3 linked regions of the Kluyveromyces lactis genome follow. The protein of the gene in region 3 interacts with the protein of the main gene of each other region in a pairwise test. Links are inferred from orthologs where the notes say so. Each region holds a gene or a part of one and is shown on either strand. Other genes may lie near its edges.

Region 1 (2,968 bases), on a different chromosome or scaffold from region 3:
ACCTCAAGAGTAGGACGTGAGAATCAGTTGTATTCAAGTGTCACTGGTGCTAGACTCGTTGCAGGATGTATAATACTGGATGAAAGCCGAGAGAATGTCTTAATGGTCCAGTCATCCGCTCATAAGAAGAGATGGGTGTTGCCAAAGGGTGGTATTGAAAGTGATGAACCTGACTTTGAGTCCGCTGCAAGAAGAGAGACCTGGGAAGAAGCTGGTGCCACAGGCGATATAGTGAAAGCACTTGGTTCCATTGAGGATATGAGACCTCCAAAGGACTGGAACCCAGATTTGGAAGCATTCGAGAGTTCGAATGACGAAACTGTTAACAAATGGCCTCCCAGGTCCGAATTCCATTTCTTCGAGATGATTAATGTTAAATTGGAGGACAATTATCCTGAAGTGAAGACAAGAAACCGTCAATGGTTCTCCTACGAACAGGCCAAAGAAAACTTGACCCGTGCCAAGAGGCCAGAGCTCATTGAGGCTCTGAATAGAAGTAGCATCAAGAAAAGTTAGCATTATATATAACATAGAGTATGTTTATACCGAAGACTATTATTATTTACCTCCAAAGAAACCAGACATCATATCTTGCAAGAAGTTGATTGGTTTCTCGACCTTGATACCGAAGTATTCTTGGCCCAAGAATTGTAGCTCAGAGTTGTATTTGTTGGCAAGAGTTGAGTATTGTGATTTTAGATTCTGGAAAAGAATAGTTTCTTGAGTTTGACATGCGATTATTAACAACTGTAAAAAGTTCAACGATTCCCACGATGAGAAATAATCAATCTTATATGGGCCTTTCTCTGTTAACTCAAATTTTACATCTGTCTTGTGATTGGTAAACCGTTTTAAAAGTTCTTTAGATCCCTCCAATGCATATTCGATATTGAAGATGAACAAATAGTTGAATATCATTCTTGATATGAAATCGGGGAAACTGGAGTCCTCACCGGATTGCTGATACCAGTCCCAAAGTAGATCCACATACCGCTTCATCGAGTCATGAGTACCTAGCACTAGATATCTTTCCGCTTCGTATGTATATCCACCTTCAAGTAATTTTGTAGCGATCGCTGAATGTAAGTATGGGTCACCAAACTTATATTCACTATGTTTCACAGACCAATTGTTCATCCCTGTCACTACATCCTTTAAATTTGGTTCCTGGCCGTCAACGAGGACGAGTAATTGAATGAGTCTAGAGACCGAAGAGTCATTGCATGGAACCGATGCCAAATCGTAAACTTCAAGTAGATAGAAGATCAAATCTGAACCAGAACCACCTTGCTTGGACCTCAAAAACGCACCGGCTGCATGAGAAATCAAATCAATCGATTCATCATACTTTTTGGCCCGCACATATCTATTAGCAATGGTTCTTAACGTCTGATGGGCTTCATAATAATCACCAGCTTCAATTCTCGCATTGAATCTCTGTAAGGTCTTCGTTAATTTATCACTCATCTCTAAGTGTCTCGATCAAAAAACAATTAAGGTATGTAAAAACTCGCCTAACGGATTCAAAAGGCCTCTTGATAAGTACAAAATAACTTGATTCTGAGAAACACGAAAGCTGTGGTTCACTCGTTGGACCTTTACAATATGATCATGTTCTTTCTTTCTCTTCCTGGCGAAATTTCGGACCGTTAAAATATTGAAACTCAACAAAACCAATATTGAAATTGACTCGTTCATTAACTATTCTGATGAAAGATAGGGTAAAGGACAATAACAGCTGGAGCAGCAGCTGAGCTATATTGCCAAGGGATTTAATTACAATTTAGAACCGAGTAATATCTGCTTAGTGAGGTGATACATTTCGTTTTTGTTACATTATTAAGGGAACGCTGTCAAACAGTAGCATGAGTGATCTCAAAGAAGCTATTCAGCTCATCGATGAGAACAAACAATTCAATCCCTCGACATTGAACTATTTCACGAAGTGCCTTGGGGATAAAAATGTTGGAGTAAAGTATCATGTCATATCTGTTTTTGGATCGCAATCAAGTGGTAAATCGACGTTATTGAATAAATTGTTCGATACAAAATTCGATACCATGGATGCACAGGTTAAACGACAACAGACTACTAGAGGTATTTGGTTATCCCATTCTGCCAATATATACAGCTCTGGAGCTGCCAACCAATCCATTCCTGATTTCTTTGTTTTGGATGTCGAAGGTTCGGATGGTGCGGAGAGAGGTGAGGATCAAGACTTTGAAAGGAAAGCTGCTCTATTTGCATTATCAGTGTCCGAGGTTCTAATCGTGAATATGTGGGAAAACCAGGTCGGGCTATACCAGGGGAATAACATGGGGTTGTTGAAAACGGTTTTCGAGGTGAATCTTTCGTTATTTGGCAAGAATGAAAATCGTCACAAGGTAGCATTGCTGTTTGTCATTAGAGATTTTACCGGCCAAACACCATTGGAAAGTTTAGAAGCCAGTCTTGTCCTGGAATTAGAAAAAATGTGGTCACAGCTAAGTAAGCCTGAAGGTTGTGAAGATACATCTTTCCATGATTTTTTCGTTCCAAATTTCTTCGGTTTGGGCCACAAGGTCTTCCAACCTGAACAGTTTGATAATGATGTGAAGAGTTTGGGTGACTTGTTCGTTGACCAAGATGCCTCTTTCTTCAAAGATGAATACCATACTCACTTGCCATTGGATGGATGGTCTCTTTATGCAGAAAACTGCTGGGAACAAATTGAGAATAACAAAGATCTTGATTTGCCGACCCAGCAGATTCTCGTAGCTAGATTCAAAACCGACGAGATTGCAGCAGCAGCATACAACAAATTTTTGAATGACTATCAATCACAGGTCACTGACTCCTTGGATGGGAAAGAACTTGCAACAGTACTAAAAACATTACAATCAACCTGTATTGATGTCGACTATGACCCTTTCGCCTCACGTTACGCGAAGAAAGTGTATGAAGAACGTAGAGATGATTTGATCAAACA
Region 2 (2,375 bases), on a different chromosome or scaffold from region 3:
TCGACAAAACAAGAGGAAAAAACAGACGTAGAACAGGGTGCTAGGTGTGTGAATTGCGGCAAACTGGACAGAATTAGACTCGGTTGTTGTTGTTTGTTACTATTTAATGGAAGACTACGTGATACCGCCAGTTAGTAAGGAGGAGAGACCATCATACTGATTTGGTAATCTGGAAATTTCCTATGGTCACGTGATACGATACCAATGCCTTTACCCAAGGCGAAGGCGAAGGCCACTAGAACTGTGGGGCAGTACTTGGTCCAATGGAAACAATTCTTCCTATGTATCCATCATTACTAGCAATTGTAACAGAAACATTTCACTTCTTCGTTGTTCTCACTTTTGTAACTACATTTCATCTTTTAATGTAAACTTTGTGATGCAATTCATGAATTGAAGATTCACAAGTTCGAATATATTTTGATCATTAGCAGATTATTTCATTAGATTGATAGGGACATACATATAACATTATTTACAAGCGAGTAATATGGGTGACAGGATATTCCCTGGAGATTATATTTCTATTCTTGAGAATGTAGTGGAGGAAAGAAATTTGTTAGCGCCTTCTGCCTCTGATAAGGAGGCCGATGGTGGTTGCGCCGATGGCGATTCCTGCACTGATCAAGGCAATCCCTTTTAATCCCTGAGAAGTGATCTTGTTTTCTACAGCGGTTTGTAGCATCAATGCTTGTTTGTTTTCAGGTTCATGATGCACTAGTGCATCCACGTACCGCTTTGCAGTAGAGTATTCGCCGAGTTTGTAACATCCGATGGTCAAATAGTATAAGCACTCTCTTCTTCTCATTGGAGATTCTTTGTATATGTCCGTCAATAACTTAACACCCAACATCTGATCTTCCTTATTCGTCGATCTGACGAGACCCCAGGCGTAATTGAAGCGTGATTGAATAGATGATATTTCGCCCCCTTCATTGAGCACCTGTTGCCTTAAAATTTCGATTTGATCGCTGTTTAATGCAGAATATGAATCCTCCAATTCAGGAAGGTAGTGGATGTTAGTCATACCGCAGTATTTTTTTGAGCTTGTGCGAGTGATTTCAAGATAAAGAAATAACTGCTACCTTCGATCGTTTCAGATGTTGTTAATGATATTGTTTCAAATTCAATGTCAAATTATCAGTTTTAACTTTTCAATTTATTTTTCTTACGTCCGCTAGACATCTCGAAAACGTTTTGATTATATACAAATATATACAGAAAGTCATCTCTGAGAATTGGTACAGAGGCATCGCAATAAGATCAGCAATTGAAGTTCCGTTCCAAATATCAACACTGATAATTGCGGTAATTTATCCGTTGGTTCATTTTTGTCCAGAAAACTTACACTAGAAACATGGAAGATACAACAAAATTGAATACTTCTAAGTTGGGAACTAAGGAATACTGGGACGATTTCTACTCATTAGAGAAACAAAACTTCGAGGAGAACCCTGAGGATACTGGAGAATGCTGGTTCGCTGATAACGATGCAGAGGAGAAAATGGTCGAATTTCTACTAGATAACTTGGGCGAATACAATATCAAAGAAGACAGCTCAATGATTGATCTCGGAACTGGAAATGGTCATCTTTTGTTCACTCTATTGGAGGAAGGTTTCAAAGGTGAAATGATCGGTGTAGATTACTCTGAAAAATCAGTCGAGTTTGCTGCTGAGATTCTCAAGACTAAATACAGCCAAAATGATAACGTAACTTTTGCTACGGCAGATATATTCAATGAACAATGGGCCCCAGGTAAATTCGATGTCGTTCTAGATAAAGGTACACTAGATGCCATCGCATTAAGCGGTATAAAATTTGAAAACAATGAAACCGTGGTAGATGTCTATCCGAAAGTGATAGAGAAGATATTAGGCGAAAACAGTATTCTGTTGATTACATCATGCAATTTTACAGAAGAGGAACTCATAAAGATTATTGAAACAGAGACGTTGAAAAAATGGAAATCGGTAAACTATCCAATATTTGAGTTCGGTGGTGTCAAAGGAACTACAATATGCAGCGTTGCCTTTCTCAAATCTTCTGCTAAATAATCTTAATTAAGGTATTATTCAAAAGGTTTTAAGTAGTGTCAATTTTACAAAGTCTGTTTGAATCAGAAGTAATATGTCCAATTCAATTCTCCAGGATATGAGCATTTACTTTCTCATATAACTCATCTGCTATTTCAGCTTTTCCTGTCCTTAAGGCATACTGGACAGGATTCTTGTTCTCATCAACTGCTAATATTCTGACGAACTTTTCTCCGTTCAGAGAACCTGGGAACCCTTTTTTAATAGAAAATCCTTTTACAAGCGGTAGATTCAATATTACTTTCAATAACCCACGGGATCTCATTACTATTCTCGACTT
Region 3 (3,031 bases):
AACTGCGCTTGGTCTTATGATCTTTCATATTATGAGTTTACTCGAAACTTGGAATATCTAGAGCACTCTGTTGTCACTTTACTTAATAACTTTGAGTCTCTTCTCGCAAAGACAACTTTATGGTGGAAACATTTTGGTGAATTAATGGAACTGAAGAAAGAGTGGAAGAAAAATTTCCCAAATGACAAGGCGCCTCCTTCTTCAGCAAACAGAAATTTTATAGATACCTACATTGAAGGTAAAAGGTCTAAATTTAGGAATAAGTTATCCAATCAACTGAAAATGAGCTCTTTGAACCTTAAGAAAATTGGCGGTGAAATCAAAACAACACATGAATCGATCGCAGTGGGGATAAATCTATTCATCGAATTCAAAGAGCAGTTTTACCACGATCATATCGTTAAATCCATAGTTGATCAAAGAATCAGGGAAAATAAACAAATCATGCAACAATTGATTGATACCATGAAAGGGCATGTTTAACTAGTCATATATAGATCAAATATATACAGTCAAAAAGGACAAGCAAAAGTTTGGGTATACTGGTTATTGCTGGCTGCCGTTGCCGCCACCAAACATGTTTTTGGCCATGTCTCTAATAGATGGGTCATTCATCATTTGACTCAAATCTGGCATGCCGCCACCAGATGAGAATTGGTTGGCCATTTGCTTCATTGCTGGATTGGACATCATATCCTGCATTAGACCTGGATTTTGCATCATCTTTTCAGCGGCTTGCATAACTTGAGGGTTGTTTAGCAGTGCTCCTAAACCACCGCCTAGACCGCCACCACCTAACAAGCTTGAAAGATCTGGTAAGCCACCAGCGCCTGCACCAGGACCTTCAGTCGCAGATTTGTCAGAAACATCTTCAGAAGAAGCGCTGGTAGAGCTCTTCTCTAAGTTCATTGAGGTTTCTACCTTCTTCTTGGCAGTTTCGTAATCTCTTTTCATAACGTCAGTAGCTTTTTCCCCTTCGATATCTAGGACCTTCTTGTAAGCATCTAAAGCTTCTTCAGGCTTATTCAAAGCATACTTCGCAAATCCAAGTCTAGAAAAACCCTTAGAATATGTAGGATCAACTTCAATAGCTTGCTCGGCGTCCTTAACGGCCTGTTCGTACTGCTTCAAAGAAGAATAAGCTGCAGCCCTGTTCGAGTAGTAAACAGCGTTAGATGGAGAAACTTCGATAGCAGCAGTGTATTTTTCAATAGCCTCATCAAATTTCTTAGCAGCCATGGCCTTGTTACCCTGTAGCTTTAATTCTTCAGCCTTGGCCTTAGCTGCTGCATCTTCAACTGGAATATGAACCTTCACTGGTTCACCAGAAACGCCTCCAGAAGAGGGAGCTGAGGCTAATAGTTCAGGTAATTTCTTGCCATTAAAAGGACCAGAGATTAAAGAATCAGTCTCATCTCTTTCAAATTGGAAGGCCTCAGTGATACAGTCGATGGCAACATTCAACGAATCAACATAGTCTTCGTTTACTGAAGAAGACGATGATGACAAAAAGTCAACAATCAAAGCAGCAATTTCCTTATTAGATAGGGACATTCGGATTTTCTAAACTTTTGACAGTGCTTTAAGATGAAATAAGGATCACAAACCGCTGTATACGATAAGATGAAGCAGTAACAAAGGACGAGTCAATGATAACTCTTCTTTGAAAGTACATAAAATCCAGGCAACTTGTCATTTAAGCACTATTATAATAAACTTTTTCCTGAATGTGAATGGCGAAAAAATGATAAGTACGGAAAAACCTTCGGTTAGAGAAGGCAACAGAAGACGAAAGATTCACAGAGACACGTCAATTTCACATCGTTAGCATTTTTAAGCTGACTCGTGCCGTCTTAATTGAGAAGTAGTGATATTTGATAGAAGCTACTAATAGTTTGGAACCATCAACCATGGAAAGGAAGTTCAAAGAGTTGCTGGCTCCTTGAAAGAAGGAAAAAGTTAATCAAAAACAAAATCTTCCCCGCCAGGACTCGAACCTGGAATCTTCTGGTTTCAGAAGTAGCTAACATCGTAGCCAGACGCCGTGACCATTGGGCCACGAGGAATAAGATTTCGTGACGGTTACTACTTTTCGTTCTATATAACAGCTACAACAGATCATATGATACTTTTAAAGTAATATTCAGACTTTACCTATTTAGTGAGTATGCCGTTACACAAATACGGTGCATCCAGCATGGAGAGTTTTACTATATTGAATTTCATTACGAAGAATTGTTTTTCTCATTTACGAGTCTTATACTGGTGCTTTTTGTCTTTGTTTATTTTTGATCGAAACTGACATTCGATATATGAATACTAATTAAAGTGTAAGTAGAATCCTAAATGATTAAACAGAGGAGTGAAATATATATCCCGGTTTTGCTCTTGCAAGGTACGCCCCGTATCATTACTGCTATTATAAATTTTAACATCTATAAATCTTGCAAAGTGCTGTTTCTCATTTCGAATAATTTATAATTGTTCCATATCCAAAATGTCACAAAACATGAGAAGCCCAAGGAACAATTGGCAAGCACCCATAAATCAGGGTATTTTGATGGCGGGGAGACGTAATAGTCTAGAAAATGAATAATCCCCATTGCAATATATGAGCCAACAATGATTAATCTCCATATTAGGCTCTTGGGTAGTAAACTTGCCCGTCTATAATCAACATCTATATCACTGATGGATGGCCCTGGTGTCAAAAATTTTGGGAGGAAGCGTGGTGTGACGAAACTGAAGTTACCGATCAACCAATTGCTAAACATGAACATGACTCCATATTGCAATACTAGATTGTCCTTTTTCAGTAATGGCCAGAGTGTAAACAATGCCACGTTGTTAATCCAACAAACCAATGATAGAACATTCCAATCTCTTGACGTGTACAAGAGTGTAATAGGAAGTAAAGGTAATAAGATTGTCTTTTCATGAACCTGGAAGCTGAATAAGAAGAATGACATCGAACATGCGGCCAAAGCATATGGTAGTAAATGTCTCTTCGGGTATAAAAATGTTATAATGA

The links.
Region 1: the proteins of SGT2 (region 3) and GET4 interact in binary tests that used the Saccharomyces cerevisiae proteins (3 or more experiments, as listed by UniProt). The link is inferred for Kluyveromyces lactis from reciprocal best matches to the Saccharomyces cerevisiae genes SGT2 and GET4.
Region 2: the proteins of SGT2 (region 3) and FIS1 interact in binary tests that used the Saccharomyces cerevisiae proteins (3 or more experiments, as listed by UniProt). The link is inferred for Kluyveromyces lactis from reciprocal best matches to the Saccharomyces cerevisiae genes SGT2 and FIS1.

The regions. Positions count from the first base shown.
Region 1 is NC_006042.1:1,886,938-1,889,905, forward strand, and holds GET4 (protein GET4), read right to left. Parts: upstream 1,468-2,968; coding exon 559-1,467; downstream 1-558. Other genes in the region: polyphosphatase DDP1, read left to right, coding at 1-516; dynamin-like GTPase SEY1, read left to right, coding at 1,866-2,968. UniProt on the Saccharomyces cerevisiae protein: May play a role in insertion of tail-anchored proteins into the endoplasmic reticulum membrane.
Region 2 is NC_006039.1:696,729-699,103, forward strand, and holds FIS1 (Fis1p), read right to left. Parts: upstream 1,028-2,375; coding exon 560-1,027; downstream 1-559. Other genes in the region: EFM4 (Efm4p), read left to right, coding at 1,358-2,056; YRB2 (Yrb2p), read right to left, coding at 2,139-2,375. UniProt on the Saccharomyces cerevisiae protein: Has a role in mitochondrial fission. Has a role in outer membrane fission but not matrix separation. Required for targeting MDV1 to the mitochondria.
Region 3 is NC_006040.1:104,301-107,331, forward strand, and holds SGT2 (Sgt2p), read right to left. Parts: upstream 1,555-3,031; coding exon 547-1,554; downstream 1-546. Other genes in the region: KLLA0_D01133g (uncharacterized protein), read left to right, coding at 1-483; ALG6 (dolichyl-P-Glc:Man(9)GlcNAc(2)-PP-dolichol alpha-1,3-glucosyltransferase), read right to left, coding at 2,436-3,031. UniProt on the Saccharomyces cerevisiae protein: Co-chaperone that binds to the molecular chaperone Hsp70 (SSA1 and SSA2). Regulates Hsp70 ATPase activity. Required for recovery from heat shock.